Xenopus tropicalis: one gene and its partners. The protein of the gene in region 5 binds, or shares a complex with, the protein of the main gene of each other region. Links are inferred from orthologs where the notes say so. Each region holds a gene or a part of one and is shown on either strand. Other genes may lie near its edges.

Region 1 (3,515 bases), on a different chromosome or scaffold from region 5:
GGTCTCACACATACACCAAGTGCATATTTGTAGCAATGAGGGCTTGTCCTTGTTCATTTGTATATCTCGCACTCTGCACAAATGAAGCTTAAACAAGACACAGAACCTTATTCAGAAGCACTGCCTATAAAAAAGGCACTTTTGTAAAACAATGGACAGCTAACAAAACAAAGAGAGAACATTTATGGTATGGGACAGGTAAAATTTGCTATGTGTAAAGTACTTCAGCCATACAAATGTATATGCTTTCTTTAAGCTGCATTCAAAGGAAATACAATGCATGGCTAATGGGATGGTGTGCATTACAGCACTAGTGGATACGAGTGACATACAAGTACACATACATGTATATGCGTAGGTCACTTGGGATATAAATTATCTGCTGGTCAGTTTTTTTTTCCTAATAATGTATAGTTCTCCTTTAAGTCATGTAGTATGTAGCACAAAAAGGCTACCAAATCTTACCTTCTGTAGTTTTTTTAAGCATTCGGAAATATACAGAGTTATGTATATTAATGTCCGATCAGCCTCGTTCTGTAAAGAGAAGCGTTTATATACAAACAGTGAATATTAGTTTTGTTTACTAGCGAAAAAAAACATTATTATAAAGCGAAGTAGGAAATGTGCCCACTATGTGGATATAGAATTTGCAACGTTTCAGTAAGATTTTTTTGCATAGTGAGATCTGATAGCTTACCTTTATTTCATAGTTTTTGAAGAAAACATTAGCCTTAAAGTAATAAATAGCTTCATCAATGATATCTGTGTCTTTTGCTTGAAAGACAAAATACAAAAGTGATTATGGACAAAAATGCTGTAATGTTCATACAAGCTAAAAACTTATATTCATTTTGCAATAGTTAAATACTTAAATATTTGCCGATTTATAACAATTGTACTAGTGCAGTTGTCCTTAGCAACTGATCCGCTTTGATCAAGCAACCAAGATCTGATTGGTTGCTATAGGCAACATATCATTAATTAACATAATTCATATTTTTTTGTTGCAAATTATGCCCAATGCCTTCTCTCTCATTAATGGATCAATTAAAAAAAGCTATATATAACATATACCTACATGCAAAGCAGCACAAAACCCCATTATATAATGCATATAATCTCCAATATAGAATTTTATTATTTGCATTACAATATATAATTATATATATATATATATATATATATATATATATATATATATATATATATATTACATAATAAGCAGCAATCACTGCATCACGGACTATTGATGGGCCTAAAGTAAAAATTCCAAGAGAACTACTGAATTAACACTTGGTTGCATTGAGGAATCCTCCAGCAAGCTGAGACCCGCCACATGGATAACATGAGGAATTTATGTAAAACATTTGGGGTTGGTAAGACTTACTTTCTCTAGGGGCTGGTCCTTTAAACTGGCTTCTTATGGGTAGCATTGCCATGTTACCAATCAGCTTGGTGTCTGACTCCATAAGCATTGAATGGTAGGCCTGAAACACAAATCAGAAAAGCTTTAACATTTTAAGAGCTATATATGCTCAGTGTGAAAAGGTTTTTTATTAAACTATTTTTTATCCAGACAGTTGTTTTTTGTTAGAAATGTATAATCTTACACAATACCTCAGTCAATTCCTTCAAGATTTTCTGCAGCCACTAGCTGACCAGTAAGACATTTATGCCATAATAACTGTACCATTAGGTGGACAGTTTCTATAGTATTTTATCCTAATTCTCCTAATTACGGTTTTACATTACCAATTATAAAAAGATTTATATATAATGTTCAGAATTAATATCTGATTTTAAGGCCTATGCTGTTACCCAAATCCTTTTGCGTTTAGAGAAAAGGATCACCATTAAAATGAAAGGGTTTCTCCATCCAAAAACAATTTATTACACAGTAAAAGAAAATGTAATTGTATGCAACTTTCCAATATGCGTTCATTTTAAAAATTCAATGGTTTTAAAGTTATTTGTAAATGTAATTGCTACTGAACACAGTATCTGTCATAACTCTTCTAGGTCTGTTACATTGTTTTAATACATAAACAAACAGTACTTTCAATTACAACTATCTTTATAAATAACTTTATACCCACTGAAAATCTTTTGCTTATGTATATGAAAGTTGCTTAGAATTGTTTTCTTTTTATCCAAAAGACTGTGTGCGTGGAGGACCCCTTTAAGCATTCAGGGAGGAGTAAAATAATGTTGCAGAAGTAGCTGGGGGTCATTGCTATGTGGGATAGTTCTAACATGCACAGCTACATTTTGGATACAATACTTGACCTTGAAACTTGACCTTGAAACAATATTTTATACAAAGGTGTGGCCTTGCTTTACTTTTGAGTCTCAAATTTCATAACTAATCACGCTAATAAACATTAAGGCCTATGGCATTTTTAGAACAGATCAAAATTCATGTGACCTGCTCAGGGGGCTTTCATCTGTTAGCAATGTGAAGAACCATGATTTATTCCAGCAGGTCTGGACTGGGATTCAAAATAGGCCCTGGCATTTCAAGTACACAGAGGCCCAAACAGCCCCCACCAGCCCAATATATAGTGACTGTCTATGGCATCTTACAGTAGCCCCTCTGGCATTTGTCAGAACCCACAGTTCAGGCCTGTATCCCAGCCCCCTGATAATCATGCATAGTACAGAATGGCAACCCACAAAGCTTCCGCTGCACTATTATATAAAACCACAAATGTACATTAGTGCTTTACAAGGTGTAAACACAAACAGGGGTATGGTTATTATAAACTAGACAGTGATAATAGTACATAAATGCTAAGAGTTTTAACACACACTTAAAAGAAGGTTGTTGTGTATGGTGTTTCATACACACAAAGCGATTTCATAAAAATAAAATACCTAAATATATTAGCAGTATGTGCCATAACAATCCCATATTGAAACACTTCCATTTTAAGTGCTAAAGTCTGCCCTCTCCCTCAAATGAAGTACTGTGCTCACAGTGCTAGTTTACATCAGGAACCTAATAGACAGAGCTGTTTATTTCACTCCCTGTTACAGTAAGTGCTGCACTATTGCCTGTCAGGTGATCTATGTGGGAGTAAACAGATTAGAACCAAATGGTGATTTTGTACTGAAATGATCTGTCATTGCTGGCTATGTAAATCGCCACAGCAAAATTTTTTATATTGCATAATCTAGAGTAAAGGTGGCCATACACGCACCGATAATATCGTACGAAACGAAGGTATGTCAGCAAGTCGACCGATATCGCAGGAAGCTGCTGATATCGCCCGACTCGCCGATCGGACCAGTTTGAAAATTTTGATCGGGTGCCATAGAAGCCGCCTGACCAAAATCTCCCTTCATCGCTGAATCGGCAGAAGGAGGTAGAAATCCTATTGTTTCTACCTACTTACCTGCCGATTCAGCCCTGAATGGTGTGTGGCGGATCTGACGATGTTTCGTGCGACCGATGGTTGCACGAAACATCGTCAGATCGCCACGTGTATGGCCAGCTTAAGTACCCTCCAAGGCAT
Region 2 (3,515 bases), about 43 Mb from region 5:
ATTAGGGGACAATCAGAGCAATCACAATGTTCTTAACAACATATAATTGGTGTTTTGTTTTTTTTTTGTTTTTTTTTAAACTCTTCCTCTCAAACTAGATTATGTTGGGGAATTAGATGATTGACCAAAAACCAATTATCCATATTTTTGTTAGCTTTTTTAATATTATTAATGAGATCATGGTTACCAGGGGTGCTGTGGCCATGAGTTGATAAACTAACCTCAGCAGCAGCCCCTGAGTTACCAGGGGTGGCAAAAAACAAAACTTTGGGTCTGCTAGTGGGGAAGGCGCAATTGGGCTTTCCTTCTATGAGCATCAGGCTGTTTCTAAATACCCCGAATGCAGTCAGCCTAATCTCTGTTTGTAAGAGTAGATTGTAATAATCTTTAGCACAATATGATGCAATTCCTTTAACAATTTTTTTTTGGCAGGGCCATGACTGCTATCCAGTACTTTACTCTTATGTTGAAGCTCAGGGGACTTTGAGTTTTGGGGGAAAACTTGATATCCCCAAGCAGAGTTCCCAGAGAGGGATGACTGCACGAGAGAGATTTCAAAACCTGGACAAGAAGGCCAGCTCTGATACCAACAACGTTACCCTGGACTCCTTACACAAGAACAGCATCAGGCAAGGACGCGCACACAAATGCTAGCACTTAAATTACTAGATGCACCCAAGTACTCTAATGCTAACTATCCCCTGAATTTGATTTAGTACATGGCCTATGTACCTAGAAAGCTTTCAAAATTATTTGCTACAGGCTCTTTGCCAGGGATGGGCTGCACCTCAATGATGATGGGGCAGCTGCTTTGGGGGAAAAGATGGCTAGAGGGTTGGAGGAGATTTTAAACTAGGAGTGGGGGGGGGTGCAGCAGGTAATTCTGTGGTAGACAGGATAGATGAGGTAGTGGGCATAGTAAGGGAAAATGGGGGAGGAGACTTGCTTCGGGATACTGATAATGGCAGGGAGGCCCATAAGTTGTTTACACGTCATTCTCACGCCGGAACCAGTATTAAATGTATGTTTACCAATGCAAGAAGTCTGACTGGTAAAATGGGAGAGCTGGAGGTACTGGCATTGTAGCGGTTGAACGAGTCACATGACTGGGCAGTTAATATTGGGGGTTATACATTGTTTCGGAGGGACAGGGGCAATAGAATTGGAGGAGGAGTGTGTATTTACGTTAAGCAAGAATTAAAAGCAAATATTAAAGAGGAAGCAATGGGGGTAACAGAGGGAGCTGAATCCTTATGGGTTGAGCTTCTCACAGATAGTAAAGAATCTACCAAACTAATTGTAGGGGTATGCTATAGACCCCCTAATGTAAGTGAGGAGGAGGAGGCTCAGCTGCTGTTGCAAATATCACCTGCTAGTTTGGGGCAGGTGATAATAATGGGGGATTTTAATTATCCTGATATTGACTGGAGCCATAGTACTGCCAGGACAGTAAATGGGAACAAGTTTATAAACTTGCTGCATGACAACGTTATGTCACAGGTTGTTGAGGAGCCAACCAGGAACCATGCTATATTGGATCTAGTGTTCTCTAATGGCCCAGAGTGTATAGCAAATGTGCAAGTGGTTGAACCCCTGGGTAATAGTGACCATAATGTTATTTCATTTGATGTTTGTGCAGGAAACAAATTTACACGGGGCAACAAAGACAATGAATTTTAGGAAGGCAAATTTTAGCTCCTTAAGGGCAGCGCTTCAGGGCATAGATTGGGGCATTATGTTTTCTGATAAAAACACAGAACAGAAATGGTTGTCATTTAAAATGATATTAAATCATTACTATTCGCAATTTATTCCTTTAATAAGAAAAAGTAGAAGTGTTAAGAATCACCCTATGTGGCTTAACTCTGAGGTAAAGAAGTTAATAGGGAAAAAAAGGAAAGCTTTTAAGAAATATAAGTCAGAGGGGACAGTAGCTGCGTTTAATGAATATAAACACTATAACAAGTGTTGTAAAACAGCAATCCAGAAGGCAAAGATAGAAAATGAGGAGCGCATTGCGGCAGAGGCCAAGACTAACCCCAAAAAGTTTTTTAAGTATATTAATAGTAAAAAGATGCAGGTTGAGGATGTGGCCCCATTGAGTTATAGTAACAATATGGTTTTAAATGACAACCATTTCTGCTCTGTGTTTTTATCAGAAAACATAATGCCCCAATCTATGCCCTGAAGCGCTGCCCTTAAGGAGCTAAAATTTGCCTTCCTAAAATTCATTGTCTTTGTTGCCCCGTGTAAATTTGTTTCCTGCACCAAACATCAAATGAAATAACATTATGGTCACTATTACCCAGGGGTTCAACCACTTGCACATTTGCTATACACTCTGGGCCATTAGAGAACACTAGATCCAATATAGCATGGTTCCTGGTTGGCTCCTCAACAACCTGTGACATAAAGGTGTCATGCAGCAAGTTTATAAACTTGTTCCCATTTACTGTCCTGGCAGTACTATGTACATTTTCCCTAAACACACACTAGTAAGTAAGTAAGTTGGGTTGAAAAAAGACATACGTCCATCACGTTCAACCATAATGCCTATATATAACCTGCCTAACTACTAGTTGATCCAGAGGAAGGCAAAAAACCCCATCTGAAGCCTCTCTAATTTGCAGCAGAGGGGAAAAAATTCCTTCCTGACTCCAAGATGGCAATCGGACCAATCCCTGGATCAACTTGTACTAAGAGCTATCTCCCATACCCCTGTATTCCCTCACTTGTACGGAGAGCTATCTCCCATAACCCTGTATTCCCTCACTTGCTAAGAATCCATCCAACCCCTTCTTAAATCTCTAGCGCCAATAATATAGAATGCGCTCATTCCAATTTTTATTACTTAAAATGAACTTATTCTCAAACATATGCATGAACGCATTCGCATATATAGGCGCCATGTTCGCACCCATTGTACAGCCCATCAGCTGTACATAGTACTGTTCATAATATACAAAGTAATTTTTAGTTAATATTAATTCCAACGCATCACATGCAAAATTAATTTCATGCGTTTTAAGATTTAACTTAGTTAGATAATATCGAATGCATTCAATGCCTTCAGCATGTGGAATGGTGGAATACAGATCACAGACGACGTCAAGGGAACATATCAAAACTTTTGTTTCTGGTAATTTTACCTCAGTGAGTTTATTAAAAAAATCTGTGGTGTCAGACAGATACGTATGAAGTAATTTAAAAATTGGCTGACATATAACATCCAAATAAATTGCTAATGGTTGAAATATAGATCCACACCCTGAGACTATCGGTCTCCCTGGTGGATTCTGCAAAGTTTTGTGAATCTTAGAAATTCAAAAATAAGCACCTGCTTTGAGGCCACTTGGAGCAACATGTTGCTCATGAACCACTGGTTGGGGATCACTGCCTTAAAAGAGAAGGACTAATAAAGAGTTAATCTCAAGCTGCAGGAATACCTTCAGTTGTCTCAATAGTGCCCTTAAGTCTCCCCATATTTCACCTGTTCAGATGATCATAAGCCCAAC
Region 3 (4,177 bases), on a different chromosome or scaffold from region 5:
AAGAGGCTGTGCTATCATTTATTCCTGTCCCTCTAGATTCAGTGACAACATTTTGTCAATCTGGACAGACCCTGCTTGGGTTTGTCCAACTATTTTGTTAAAGCCATATTTTAGTTTTGCCATAAAGAAGAAACTCGAAAAATCGGATTGGAAACGAACATTTTGCGATTTTTTCGTGAATTGTCGCAAATTGTTGCAACTTTTTCGTAGCCGTTACGACTTTCGCGAGTTGTCGCAACTTTTTCGTATTGAGCGCTTTCGTACTCGGCACGAGAGTACGATTTTTTCGCGACGGAAAAGTCGCGACGGCGACAAAAAAAATCTCAAAATACAGATCATTACAAATTAGTAAATTTGCCCCTAGGAGTTAAATCCTTGTGTACATGCTCCCTCACTGAACAAGTTTTGGGAGGGCATGAAGTGTGCTGTTAACAGTGTTCCAAAACTGCTCAGTTACTGCTACCACTCAAAAATATAGAATCAGATTTCATGGATAATTTTGTCCCTAACAACTGCTGCTAGGGGAGACCTACAGGGTCTGAAACATTTTTAGAAGAGGGATCAGCATTAAAAGGTATCTACTTATATGGGAAGGCACTGTATGCCTTTAAAGAATAAGTAAACCTTTTTTTTTTTTTTTTTAATCTAAATTTACTCTAAAATTACTCTGTTTAGCCCCCAGAATAACATACCTTTTTTCCCTGCATCCAGAATTACTTTGTCTCTCTATTACAAGCAGATGAGCTGCATCTCTTTTACCGGCTTCCTTGTCTAGTGTGAAGCCCCGCCCCTTTTGCTTTATGAGTCCCCCTTTCTCTCTCTCCGACTATGATGACCTAATAGAGGTGCCTACTCTGCATGCCTGATGTGTTTGTCAGCTCCATAGTACTTTGCTCACCTTCTCATGCCACTGCAACAAGACAGCACTGCTGTTGTCAGACGGACTCTCAAAGCCCTTGTAGATGTATTTCATTAAGAGGTCCATGTTATTTTTGTCTAAAGATTGAACAGCCTTTTCTATGTCATTAGCTTTAAAGGAGATTAGAACTTTCAGCACCAGGTGCTCAGCTCGATCCTAAGTAAAAAGCAATGATAAAGTCAATGTCCATACTCCAAAATTTAAAATAAAGAGTTAGAAAATTGTAAAACTGTATTGGAAAACTTGCTGGTATGACCAACTGAGTAGTGGCTGATTATTGGTACAGAATGCATTAAGTGCAGCAAAATAAGTTTGGCTGAAAGTAAGATATGAATATAATTTATAAAATAGTGTGGCAATAAAACTATTGGCAGGAGGAACAAAAAGCAAAGAGGAAGTAAGCACTGACTGATGTATATTCTGTACCCAATACGCCACTTTATAACTACCTTATTTATCCTTCAGCAAATAATAAGCAAATGAATAACAATTTGTTTCCTGTTGTATTTTACTAGAAGCATATTACCTTGGCAGACTGATTCTTGGTATTAATTGGTGGGTTCTTTAGAGCAGCTTGCAGAGCTCCCATCATGTTTCCTGTAGCAAGCTGTTAAGGGAATAACGTACTGACACAAAAGAAATGCCATACAATAATTACAGAACAATTTCAGTTGATGCTTTATATTCACAGATCCCTATATGGCCCTGGCCTAATATTAGCATAAATCTGAAAAAGCCTACTGTGCATATATATGGAAATATGGTCTGAATTGAAAATGTGTTAAAACTAATGAAAAAAATATAGATCTGGGACAAAAGTGTAAAAAAAGCCAACCAAGCAGAAGTTCCCATGCTTCCTGATGACTGAGACTGAGCCACTTCCTGCATTCCTAAACCTGAAGCAAGACCAAGCTTGCCTCACAAAAACATATAGCTTGTACTATAACACCACAACGACCAATAACTGCTACAGAACCATCAAGGTGTGTTTAACTGTGTGCTCAACCTGTGTGTAACTTGGCTCAAAGTCCACTATTGTATTATCCACCCTTGGAAACACCGATAAGAAAGCATGTAAATGTATGTGATTTCAAACAGAGAGAGAGTGAGAAAGAAAGTGTTTTTGTTTAGATAGACAGAGAAAAAGAAACAAAATGCACAGGATAAAGTGACTGACACTCCCACAGCCTCACAGCAAGTTCCTCTTTGTAGGAAAAGGAGATTAACTACTGACATTTCCTACACAGCAGAGCCTCTATATACGGTTTGCAAGTATTTTGCTTGCCATAGATCCTTTAGGTATGTAATATGGAGTCAGTGTGCAAACTGGAGTTGGTATGCACAGCTTCTGCATATCCACACATAGCAAATGACAAGGTGCATAGACAAAAGCAAATGTGTATTGACTCCAGTTTGAAAGCTTATTAGGCTACCATATCAGGACTATGCCAGTTTATTCTAGTAGATATTCCTGAAACCTTAGCTTGGAGATCAAACAAAGAGAAGGGTGTAGGGGGAAGTATAGGCTTTGCAAGATGAAGATGAGTACAAAGCATGACAGGAATAGTGGAAACAGTGGCAGTCAGCCCTCTCCATGTGACACCGCACACCTTCAGCATGTTAGCACTATGACACGGTACAGCCCATATGTCAGGCGATTAGGAGCATGTCTGTTCATACAAAGGTACAATGCCAGGCCCTGCCAGCACAGACAACATACAAGGATATCCCCGAATCGCGCTATCAACCTCCCCCTCGTCGGGTCCTTGCTGTCCTTCTCCCGCCTCCTCTTCGTCAACGAATTTGTTCTCATCATATTCATCCACATCTACTTTCCGGAAGCGTGCAGACACCGTATTCTTCGCCATCCCGAACCGGAGACTCTGTGCTGCTGGCAGGGAGCGGTCGTACTCAATGCGCAGGCGCAGCGGCTTCCGCTTTTATTCTCGGCTTCCGGAGACTGTCAGAGCGCTAGTTTTGCTGGTGTGGTTACCTCTGCCGGGATTAAGGCAGTATCAAAGCGTTCAGTCTATTCTGTGGGCTTTACCCAGGCGGGACACTCAGGCTGGGCCCGTGGGTAGTACATTTACCTGGGCGGTGGAGGTGTCAGGGGATAATCAGTTTGGTGTTTTCCAGTGACCTGACCTGTTGCATGGTAAAAAAAACTGTGGCATGGCTTGCTGGACTGCTTTTGTACAGAAAAAAAGGATTTTCTGGCAAAGTCCTCACCGTTTTGTGGGTTTCACGCAGTGCAGGACGGGTGTTTATATAAATCCAGACTAAATAAATAAAGTTAGGTATTGTAAGTGTATTGAGTGCATTTTGTGGAAGTCTGTGTTGCTGCATATGCTGATGGAATATGTGTATTTCCAATAGCATGTTTTATATAATATCCTGTGGTTGTCATCCCCTTAATTCAATGTTCCAATAGTTTATGTAATGGTACTATAGCAATGGCTTGTTGTCAGATCTTGTTATAATGTTAGTGTTTAATATAAAATAGTTTTTGCTTGTTCTACCCCCTCCCCCTTTTCCTTCTGAGCCTCCTCCATTCCTTGGGGCTGTTGCCTCGAGAGGAAACTTTGTCGATTTCAGCGCCGCGTATGGCATCCCACTGGCGATTTACATTCTAGCCGGTGGGATGGCATTTTGGGAAGATTAGTCGCCTGCACCAAGGTAGATTTGTCGCATGGCGACTAATCTCCCCGTCTGTCACAGCCCTTACGAAAGACGTGTAAATATAGAATTAAAAAAAAAAAGAATATCCTGTGGCAGACAATTATTGCCCCCCGGGTTGTGGACCCCTAACAAGTAACATAGTAAGTTAGGTTGAAAAAAGACATATGTCCATCAAGTTCAACCATAATGCCTATATATAACCTGCCTAACTGGTAGCTGATCCAGAGGAAGGCAAAAAAGTTTCCTGCCCAGTTCTCACAGGTGACATAAAACCTCAATATAGCGTCAAACAGTAATAAGAATGGGAACACAGGAGCAACTATGCCCTTCCATTGCCTGACAGGCTTTACTAGGCACACTTTCTTCTTTTTTTGTTGTTAAAAAGACAGATTCTAAAAGTCTTTCTGCATTTGGTTAATATGGTGATTTTATACACAGTAAATTGTCATTCTAGACACCATTTTCATGGATTTGGAGTACCGTTTAAAATCAGTCAATGTGAGTTTTTTTCTCATCATAAGCAACACTTTGGTGGTGTTCATAATGTCAAACTCATGTACAGGCAAAATGTTGCTACTT
Region 4 (4,017 bases), on a different chromosome or scaffold from region 5:
GACCCATGAGTGAGGTGTCAAATCGTGCGGCCTATTCGGGAATGGGGTGCTATGAGTTTTCTAAGGGGTGGGCGGTTAATTGCCCCTGCAGGCCAACTTTGACGGATTGTAGCGAAGAGAGGGAATTTTTTAGAAACGTGAAATTTACCACATTTGAAGAGGTTTACAACCTGTCAGAAGGGTATAAGTTTTACCCCCGGGGCAAGAGACGTCCCCAAATTTGCCTATTGACTTATAATGGGGATTTTGGCGAATAACTAGTTTGTCGTAGACCCACGAATGAGGTGTCAAACTGTGCGGCTTATTCAGGAATGGGGTGCTATGAAATTATTTGCACAATACTTTTATATTACCTGATCTGATTCCCCTGATCCTGAGGAGGCAGCCATATTTGTGCAGCAGCATTACAAAAATGAAGAATAATGACAATAGCTGGAACACTTTCAGAAATGCAGTTTAGATTAACTGAAATATGGTGAAATAAGCAATGGATAGGGTGTTTAAAGCAAGTTTGGCCAGGTCAGTCATGCTTTCTTTACTAACGTTCCCACAACCCCCCAGTTATTTTAGCATTTGTTCTTTAGGCCTGAGCCCAATGCTACAGTCGGGAGGATAAAAGCGAATGCTGTAATACACAGTGAACTGATTAATGCATAATGCTACATGTACATTCCAGCTTGATGGGCCAAAGCTAGGAATCCCCACCTGCCATTACTGAAACCCTAACTAAACTGACAGAAGCCGGACCGGGCGCGGCAGCCTCGCCCCATAGCATCGCGAGAGTACGATCAAGCCCCAACACAAGGAGCGGCCATTGCTGATTTGGGAATCAATCCCCTTACACTGAGCAGGTAATACTCATCTGATCTATCTAGTGATTAGGGCCAGCCACTGGAAATGAAGTCACTGCTCACATTATATAACTATTTAACATTAGGGGAATACACTAACCCAAAACAAAAGACCAACCATTCAGTTGCTTCTATTTCAACACATTAACTTGCCTCCTGCAACAAATGGTCATTAAGCTTATTCTAATTGGTTTTAGTGAAACTTTGTTCCCATAAAAAAGATGTCCACGGCACCGTTCGTCACAGGGCTGGGGGTTTGGCCTGCCCACAGGTTACGTCTACAGCCTTCGCTTGGTGGTACCGCCTATCTTCTCCGCTATTGGCTGACTTGTGTCACGTGCTGCCTCTTCCCGTAGGAGAAGCAGAAGTGGTGGTGCCTGGGCGGTGGGCGCACTTCCGGTCTATTGACTGACTGATAGATTGCTCTCAGGCTCCGGTGCCGGCGGAGGAGGGAAACAACATAATGGACAGCCAAGGCAGGAAGGTAGTGGTGTGCGACAACGGCACCGGGGTGAGTACTTATGCCCGCCAATTTGTATTGGGTGTTGGTTGTCACTTCCTGTTGCAGTGATAAAGCACAGTAGCTGACACCCACCGGGCCCGGCTGTGAGGTGCTGCACGGAACTGGCTGTGCGCTCAGTAGCGCGGATGTTCTGCGTCTCCAGGGACTGTCCAACCTGTAGCTGTCAAGTTGATGTTGAACTATCACTCACCCCCTGTATCTCGCCTCGGGTTCATGTTGCAAAGGGAAAGTGCAATTTATGTATTGCTATGTTATCATAAGAGAACAGCTTGTCGTTGTGCCTGCTCACAGACATCACCTTTTTATATAGTGTGAATGGGAGTTACCATACAGATTGCTCCCGCTGAATGGACTGGCATAGAATGAATGGCCGTTTTAGAATTAGGGCTGTCAGGGGATCCTGATAAAGTCATTATTCCCAGGGCCACAATCTGCCATAACAGAACCATTGTCATTGAAGTCCCTGTAAAATGTTTCTGCCAAAACGTTTATTTCTTGCACATAAGCTTGTTGTGATGCCAATAAAGGCCTGCACCATATGAGGAAGAGTAAGACAATTGGAGACATGGTGTATAATGAATTTAAAGACTGGCTTGCACAATGACAAGTGTGGGAGTAGTATTACAGGTTTGTAAAGAAGCCAAAGTGAGCTTCTTAAACAGGAAGTGGACCCTGCGACTGGGGGGCCCATGCGACTGATGAGTGGTTTCAGCATCCATTTTTGAAAAATAATGGGGGCTCTAACCTCTAGTTATGAAGCAGCTTGTTGCTACCTACTTTCCAGGACCCGTCCATACCTTTCACACTTCCTGCTGCAACAATTGGCTCATTATTCCATTTAAAACTGTGCTCGTAGTTATAGAAACCCTTGAAATATAGCCACAGCATATGTAGCGCGCCTCGCCAATTTCTTGCTTATAGGAAATTTATTAACTTTGTCACGTAGCCTTTGGGGATCTGCTCCATAGCCAGACAAGGGTGTTCTATGACCTCAGAACTACTAAGATGTCTCTAAATAGGCTCTTGAATATAAATTGTATAGTACTTTTCAGGTTGATATAGGCTGATGCTCCCCTGATCTATGCCCATCATAGCATGCTCTCGTTTGATTATTGCGTTTCAACTGGCTGACTTTCTAGTGATTGCTTTTTACAAATTAAAATGTCTGAAAAGACACCCTGCCGAGCAAAGTGAGCATGCTGCAGAGTTGTACTTTCACACCAGCATCAGATAGTTCTGCTTCTTATGAGGTTTTGCAACAGGGGTGGGGATAGGTTTTCCACCTCTTATGTATGTTGTATAGATGCTACAAACATATTTAGGCTTGTAAAAGTAGTTCTATTTCAACCAGTACTTGCACTACATTACAGTTTGAGTGTCGCTCATGTTTAATTTATTGTATTCGTGGTGGTGAGAGTAAGATTCTACTTTGAACAATAACATGAATGCACAGCTACTGGTATGAGGTCTCTCTGTAGCTGCTTGTTTCACTCCCACCTCAGGCATTCTGGGGTGTGGCGTATTCAGATTAGAGCAAAGGTGTGCATTTTACAAGCGAGTCTTTGATAAGAATGGTTCTGACTTCCCTGTTAGGCTAATGTCATACAAGGAGATACAACACCGCAACATTTCAGAAGACAAACAAGTTAAGAGAGCAGATATTTTGGTCTCCCAGCAAAGTTATTGGGAAGCCATTCATTTTGCAGCTATCGCTCGAGTAATTTTGACTCCAGAATAGCAGTGATGACTAATCCTATTGTGTGACCCAAGTTTTAAATCAAGACTTTTTATTGACTTGACTAATACACTCAAAAATCATTCCCATTGTTTAGCAAAGTAATATGGAAAAAGTGTTAAAGTTTTATTTTTATTAGCTAAAAAATAAGAACTCCAAATAATGTGGTTTTCAGTTTTCTCCACCTCTTCCACAGACACTTCGGTTATGCCCAGTTTCTCCCTGCATGCAATGGCAGGCTTCCAAGCAATAGTTACCTGAAAAATCCATGTGATGCATAAAATCCATAAGTTTTGGATTTGCATGAGTGCCAATTCCTCCACAAAGATTTGGCTGCATACCAAATAGAATCCACGCTTAAAGTACATATTCACATTTAAGATTTTTTTTTAAAGTTTGTAATATGACTTTAAGGATGTGGTTTGTCTGAATCTAACACAAATACTGTATTTGGTTCTTCCCTAGATGTCAACAGGTACAGTGCCCTATGCAGGTTCTCTTGTCTCTTATGCTCATAAATCATCAGAAATATATGAATACTGAATATTATGGTCATTTTCTAGAGAAGCAATTTTTTTTGCTTTTGGAATTCATATTCTCTATTGTACAGTGTTGAGCTGGACACACGTTAAGATTAAGAAGCATATCCTTTCCTACAATAGACACCTAATTCTGATCCAGTCATTTGCCACCCCCGCCCCACTGGCTGGCAATACACTGCGTTTGCTTCCCATTAAAAGGAAGGATATTTATTAAAAAAATATTGGAAATAATGGAATTGTTTAAAAATGACAAATTAAATGTCTTGGCTTTTAGCCATAGTTCTCCTTTAAATAGCCTGGGCTGGTTTATTTTGGGGAATGTGCTTATTCTACATTTGCCGACCACAGGCATGCTTTTCAGAGTGG
Region 5 (4,241 bases):
CTCCCCAGTTACTGGGATGGCTGATAATTCCCTCTGGGCCCAGTCCGGCTGGGAAATCACTACAGAAATGGATTCAGAATGTTGCATTAACCCCAGACATGATATACATATGGGTGTGTTGAACTACAACTCTCACAGCCCCAAGATATCATGAGAGTTATAGCTTAAGAATCAACTGCAGAACTGCCCCACATCCCAGTAGAAAGTAACAGTACAATCACATACCCTATAGAGCAGGGAGCAGGGGGTAGAACTGCCCCACATCCCAGTAGAAAGTAACAGTACAATCACATACCCTATAGAGCAGGGGGTAGAACTGCCCCACATCCCAGTAGAAAGTAACAGTACAATCACATACCCTATAGAGCAGGGAGCAGGGGGTAGAACTGCCCCACATCCCAGTAGAAAGTAACAGTACAATCACATACCCTATAGAGCAGGGGGTAGAACTGCCCCACATCCCAGTAGAAAGTAACAGTACAATCACATACCCTATAGAGCAGGGGGTAGAACTGCCCCACATCCCAGTAGAAAGTAACAGTACAATCACATACCCTATAGAGCAGGGAGCAGGGGGTAGAACTGCCCCACATCCCAGTAGAAAGTAACAGTACAATCACATACCCTATAGAGCAGGGGGTAGAACTGCCCCACATCCCAGTAGAAAGTAACAGTACAATCACATACCCTATAGAGCAGGGGGTAGAACTGCCCCACATCCCAGTAGAAAGTAACAGTACAATCACATACCCTATAGAGCAGGGAGCAGGGGGTAGAACTGGCCCACATCCCAGTAGAAAGTAATGGTGTAAGCTCATACCCTATAGAGCAGGTTGTAGAACAGACAGGTTGAGCCTAAATAGAATAGAAACCTTGGTCTATACTATCCAATTGCATGCTGGGTACTGTAGTTTTATATTAATCCTAGCTGTAGGCTAATTGTAAGATACAAACTACATTACCCAGCATGCAGTGGGAAAGACACACTAGGGGAAAAAACTTTGGCTAGTTCCCAAACTACAAACCCGCCAAGGCTCCAAAACAAATAGCCCAAATCTGTACTTTGGAAACCCACCTGGGCTTTAAATTAGTAGCCCAATTTGGCGGGAAAACCGCCAACCCTGAAAACAAGTGTATCGAGCCCAGTCAGTATCAAAAGGTTTGACGGCGTGGCCATAATGCTGTACGGAATAGTGAGATGGCGGATAACTTGCGATAGTTTCAGGGTCTTTAAGGAATCTGCTCAGTGGGCGACCGTGTTGGCGTGCGGAATAGTGAGACGCCGGGAATGATTTGGTTTTACATGCAGTAATGTGGCGGCCATGTTGCGGTACGGAATTACGCGCAGCCTGGTGAGGCGCGGGACGGAGGCGGCCATGTTTCTGTACGGAGGAAGCTGCTGTGGGCGGCGCCATCTTGCAGTACGGGAAGAGGGAAGTGGTTCTGGGCAGGGAGCGGCGGCCTGTCACACACTGACACCGAGATACCGATCCGACCCCTCCCTGCTGTCCCCCGCCAGGTGCCGCCATGATCCTGCTGGAGGTGAATAACCGGATCATAGAGGAGACCCTCAACCTCAAGTTTGAAAATGCGGCTGCAGGGTGAGTGCGGGAGGGCCGGGAGCGGGGTGAGTGCGGGAGGGCCGGGGGAGCGGGGTGAGTGCGGGAGGGCCGGGGGAGCGGGGTGAGTGCGGGAGGGCCGGGAGCGGGGTGAGTGCGGGAGGGCCGGGGGAGCGGGGTGAGTGCGGGAGGGCCGGGGGAGCGGGGTGAGTGCGGGAGGGCCGGGGGAGCGGGGTGAGTGCGGGAGGTGAGTGCGGGAGGGCCGGGGGAGCGGGGTGAGTGCGGGAGGGCCGGCGGGGTAAGTGCTGGCGGTGTATAGAGGGGGCGGCCGGCTGTGTGACTGAGACCGGGGTGGGTGGGGGCCCGGGATGGGTGGGGGCCCGGGATGGGTGGGGGCCCAGCTGGACATTGACCGATTAAAAGTTTTAATATGAGTATGGTGAGAATGGGCAATTCCTTATGTTTCGGAGCCCTCACACGGTTTTACGTTATTTTACTAGTTATCCCATAGGGGGAAGTGGATTGGGGTAGGAAGAGGAGTAGAGCTAGGGGTACATACCTGAGCTGGGGCAAATAGAGTGGGACTTGGGGTACATACCTGAGCTGGGGCAAATAGAGTGGGACTTGGGGTACATACCTGAGCTGGGGCAAATAGAGTGGGACTTGGGGTACATACCTGAGCTGGGGCAAATAGAGTGGGACTTGGGGTACATACCTGAGCTGGGGCAAATAGAGTGGGACTTGGGGTACATACCTGAGCTGGGGCAAACAGTGGGACTTGGGGTACATACCTGAGCTGGGGCAAATAGAGTGGGACTTGGGGTACATACCTGAGCTGGGGCAAATAGAGTGGGACTTGGGGTACATACCTGAGCTGGGGCAAGTAGAGTGGGACTTGGGGTACATACCTGAGCTGGGGCAAGTAGAGTGGGACTTGGGGTACATACCTGAGCTGGGGCAAGTAGAGTGGGACTTGGGGTACATACCTGAGCTGGGGCAAACAGAGTGGGACTTGGGGTACATACCTGAGCTGGGGTAACAGTGGGGACTGGTAAAGAAATGCAGGGCAGAAGTTGGAGGAATAAATATGGGGTGAAGTCTAAGGTGGGGTACATATCAGGGCTGGGGTGTAAGAGGGGCAAGAATTAACAGCGGCTTCTGGAAATTAAAGTTGGGGTACAGTGAATAAGGGAGACAGGGCAGAAAATAGGGAAATGGTATTGGGGTACTATGTGGGGCTTAGGGGGGGTTACAGTGTGAGGCTGGGTGGGAATGAAGCTCACACTCTAATAAGGGCTCAAGGGGTGGGGCTGGGAGCAGGGCCGGGTTATGAACATAATATGGGGTGCAAGGAAGGTGAGACGGGGGTAGGAAAGGGCTGCCCCACTGATAGAGTTAGTGCTATGTGGCCCTCCAGCTGCTGATCCTATTACCTTCCAGCACCCCAGGGCCCCTGCAGACTGAGCCTCTCTGCCTATGAGAAAGTTGCAGAATGTTGATACATTGTAGCAGTGTCAGTTACACTATAAATGTGTCTTTGCTGAGAGAGAATGCAGAGAGCTGCAGTTAAACCTTTCCAGGCCGTGTAAGTGGCCCCTCGGGGTGGGTGCCTGTTGCATTCTTGTTGCCCCCTACACCCCCACTGCAGACACCGTGAGGCTATCGGATGTGGTAACTTCACGCTCTGCACTGAGCTCAGAGATGGGAGAATACAGAGCTGAGATATGATTCATTCTCTCACTATATATATATATATATATATATATATATATATATATATATATATATATATATATATATCTGTATTCTGCTATTGGCCCCGCCCACTGTGAGACTTCAGAGAAGGAGCTACCATATACGGGGTGGGGGCCCAACTTCCTCATCCTGGGTGCATTTCTGCGCCTGTCCTGGCAGGTCCTATCAGTAAAGATTCCTCTAGCGTTGCAGTGCATGCTGGGACAAGCCCGGCTCTACTGGTAACCAGTAAAATTGCCTGTTGGGGCATGAACCAGACTGGACCCTGCTGCTTATTAGTGTCCGATATAAATGTGTGTGGCCCTAATACCCTATGATATCCTAGTTAGCATGGAAATGTATGCATAATTATGATTAGGAGCTGCCATATGACTTGCCTTGGCTGAAGAATCCATTCTAGACTTCAAGAGGTTGGGATGATGTAGAAAGTAATATTGTGACACAGTTTGCAATTGGTCTTCACTTTTTATTTCACTTTTTGTTCTGAAGCTCTCAATTTTGGAATTTTAGCAGCTATCTGGGTCCAAAGTACCTTAGCAACCATGGTGTGGCAGAACAAGGGATTGGCGTATGGTCAGTAGAGAACCTGAATACAAAAACAAGTTATAAAAAGTTACAAACACAATAAAATTGTAGCCTCATGGGGAAGTAGTTTGTTTGGTTTTTTTTTCATTGGCTGCCGGGGTCAGTGACCCCTATTTGAATGCAGGAAAGTCAGAAGAAGGCGGCAAATGATTAAAAAATAAATAATGAAGACCAATTGAAAAGTTGCTGAGAATTGGCCATTCTATAACATACTAAAAGTTAATTTGCTGGTCATGTGACGGTCAGATTGGGCGACAGAATCTCAGTTTATTTGTCAGGGTTTAAATATATACTGCTTTCCCCACACAGACCCAATACTGACCCCCCCATTAGATTTTCCTG

Evidence for each region.
Region 1: arpc2 (region 5) and arpc3 share a complex: the UniProt entries of both Homo sapiens proteins name them as parts of the arp2/3 complex. The link is inferred for Xenopus tropicalis from reciprocal best matches to the Homo sapiens genes ARPC2 and ARPC3.
Region 2: arpc2 (region 5) and arpc1b share a complex: the UniProt entries of both Homo sapiens proteins name them as parts of the arp2/3 complex. The link is inferred for Xenopus tropicalis from reciprocal best matches to the Homo sapiens genes ARPC2 and ARPC1B.
Region 3: arpc2 (region 5) and arpc5 share a complex: the UniProt entries of both Homo sapiens proteins name them as parts of the arp2/3 complex. The link is inferred for Xenopus tropicalis from reciprocal best matches to the Homo sapiens genes ARPC2 and ARPC5.
Region 4: arpc2 (region 5) and actr2 share a complex: the UniProt entries of both Homo sapiens proteins name them as parts of the arp2/3 complex. The link is inferred for Xenopus tropicalis from reciprocal best matches to the Homo sapiens genes ARPC2 and ACTR2.

What each region holds. Positions count from the first base shown.
Region 1 is NC_030677.2:162,789,994-162,793,508, forward strand, and holds part of arpc3 (actin-related protein 2/3 complex subunit 3), read right to left. Parts: intron 1,488-3,515; coding exon 1,388-1,487; intron 775-1,387; coding exon 698-774; intron 535-697; coding exon 466-534; intron 1-465. UniProt on the Homo sapiens protein: Component of the Arp2/3 complex, a multiprotein complex that mediates actin polymerization upon stimulation by nucleation-promoting factor (NPF).
Region 2 is NC_030685.2:41,839,496-41,843,010, forward strand, and holds part of arpc1b (actin-related protein 2/3 complex subunit 1B), read left to right. Parts: intron 1-432; coding exon 433-629; intron 630-3,515. UniProt on the Homo sapiens protein: Component of the Arp2/3 complex, a multiprotein complex that mediates actin polymerization upon stimulation by nucleation-promoting factor (NPF).
Region 3 is NC_030680.2:99,903,107-99,907,283, reverse strand, and holds the start of arpc5 (actin-related protein 2/3 complex subunit 5), read right to left. Parts: upstream 2,815-4,177; 5' UTR 2,788-2,814; coding exon 2,648-2,787; intron 1,519-2,647; coding exon 1,446-1,518; intron 1,076-1,445; coding exon 899-1,075; intron 1-898. UniProt on the Homo sapiens protein: Component of the Arp2/3 complex, a multiprotein complex that mediates actin polymerization upon stimulation by nucleation-promoting factor (NPF).
Region 4 is NC_030681.2:31,981,316-31,985,332, reverse strand, and holds the start of actr2 (actin-related protein 2), read left to right. Parts: upstream 1-1,212; 5' UTR 1,213-1,314; coding exon 1,315-1,362; intron 1,363-1,572; exon of another isoform or gene 1,573-1,587; coding exon of another isoform or gene 1,588-1,599; intron 1,600-4,017. UniProt on the Homo sapiens protein: ATP-binding component of the Arp2/3 complex, a multiprotein complex that mediates actin polymerization upon stimulation by nucleation-promoting factor (NPF).
Region 5 is NC_030685.2:85,244,802-85,249,042, reverse strand, and holds the start of arpc2 (actin-related protein 2/3 complex subunit 2), read left to right. Parts: upstream 1-1,430; 5' UTR 1,431-1,527; coding exon 1,528-1,601; intron 1,602-4,241. UniProt on the Homo sapiens protein: Actin-binding component of the Arp2/3 complex, a multiprotein complex that mediates actin polymerization upon stimulation by nucleation-promoting factor (NPF).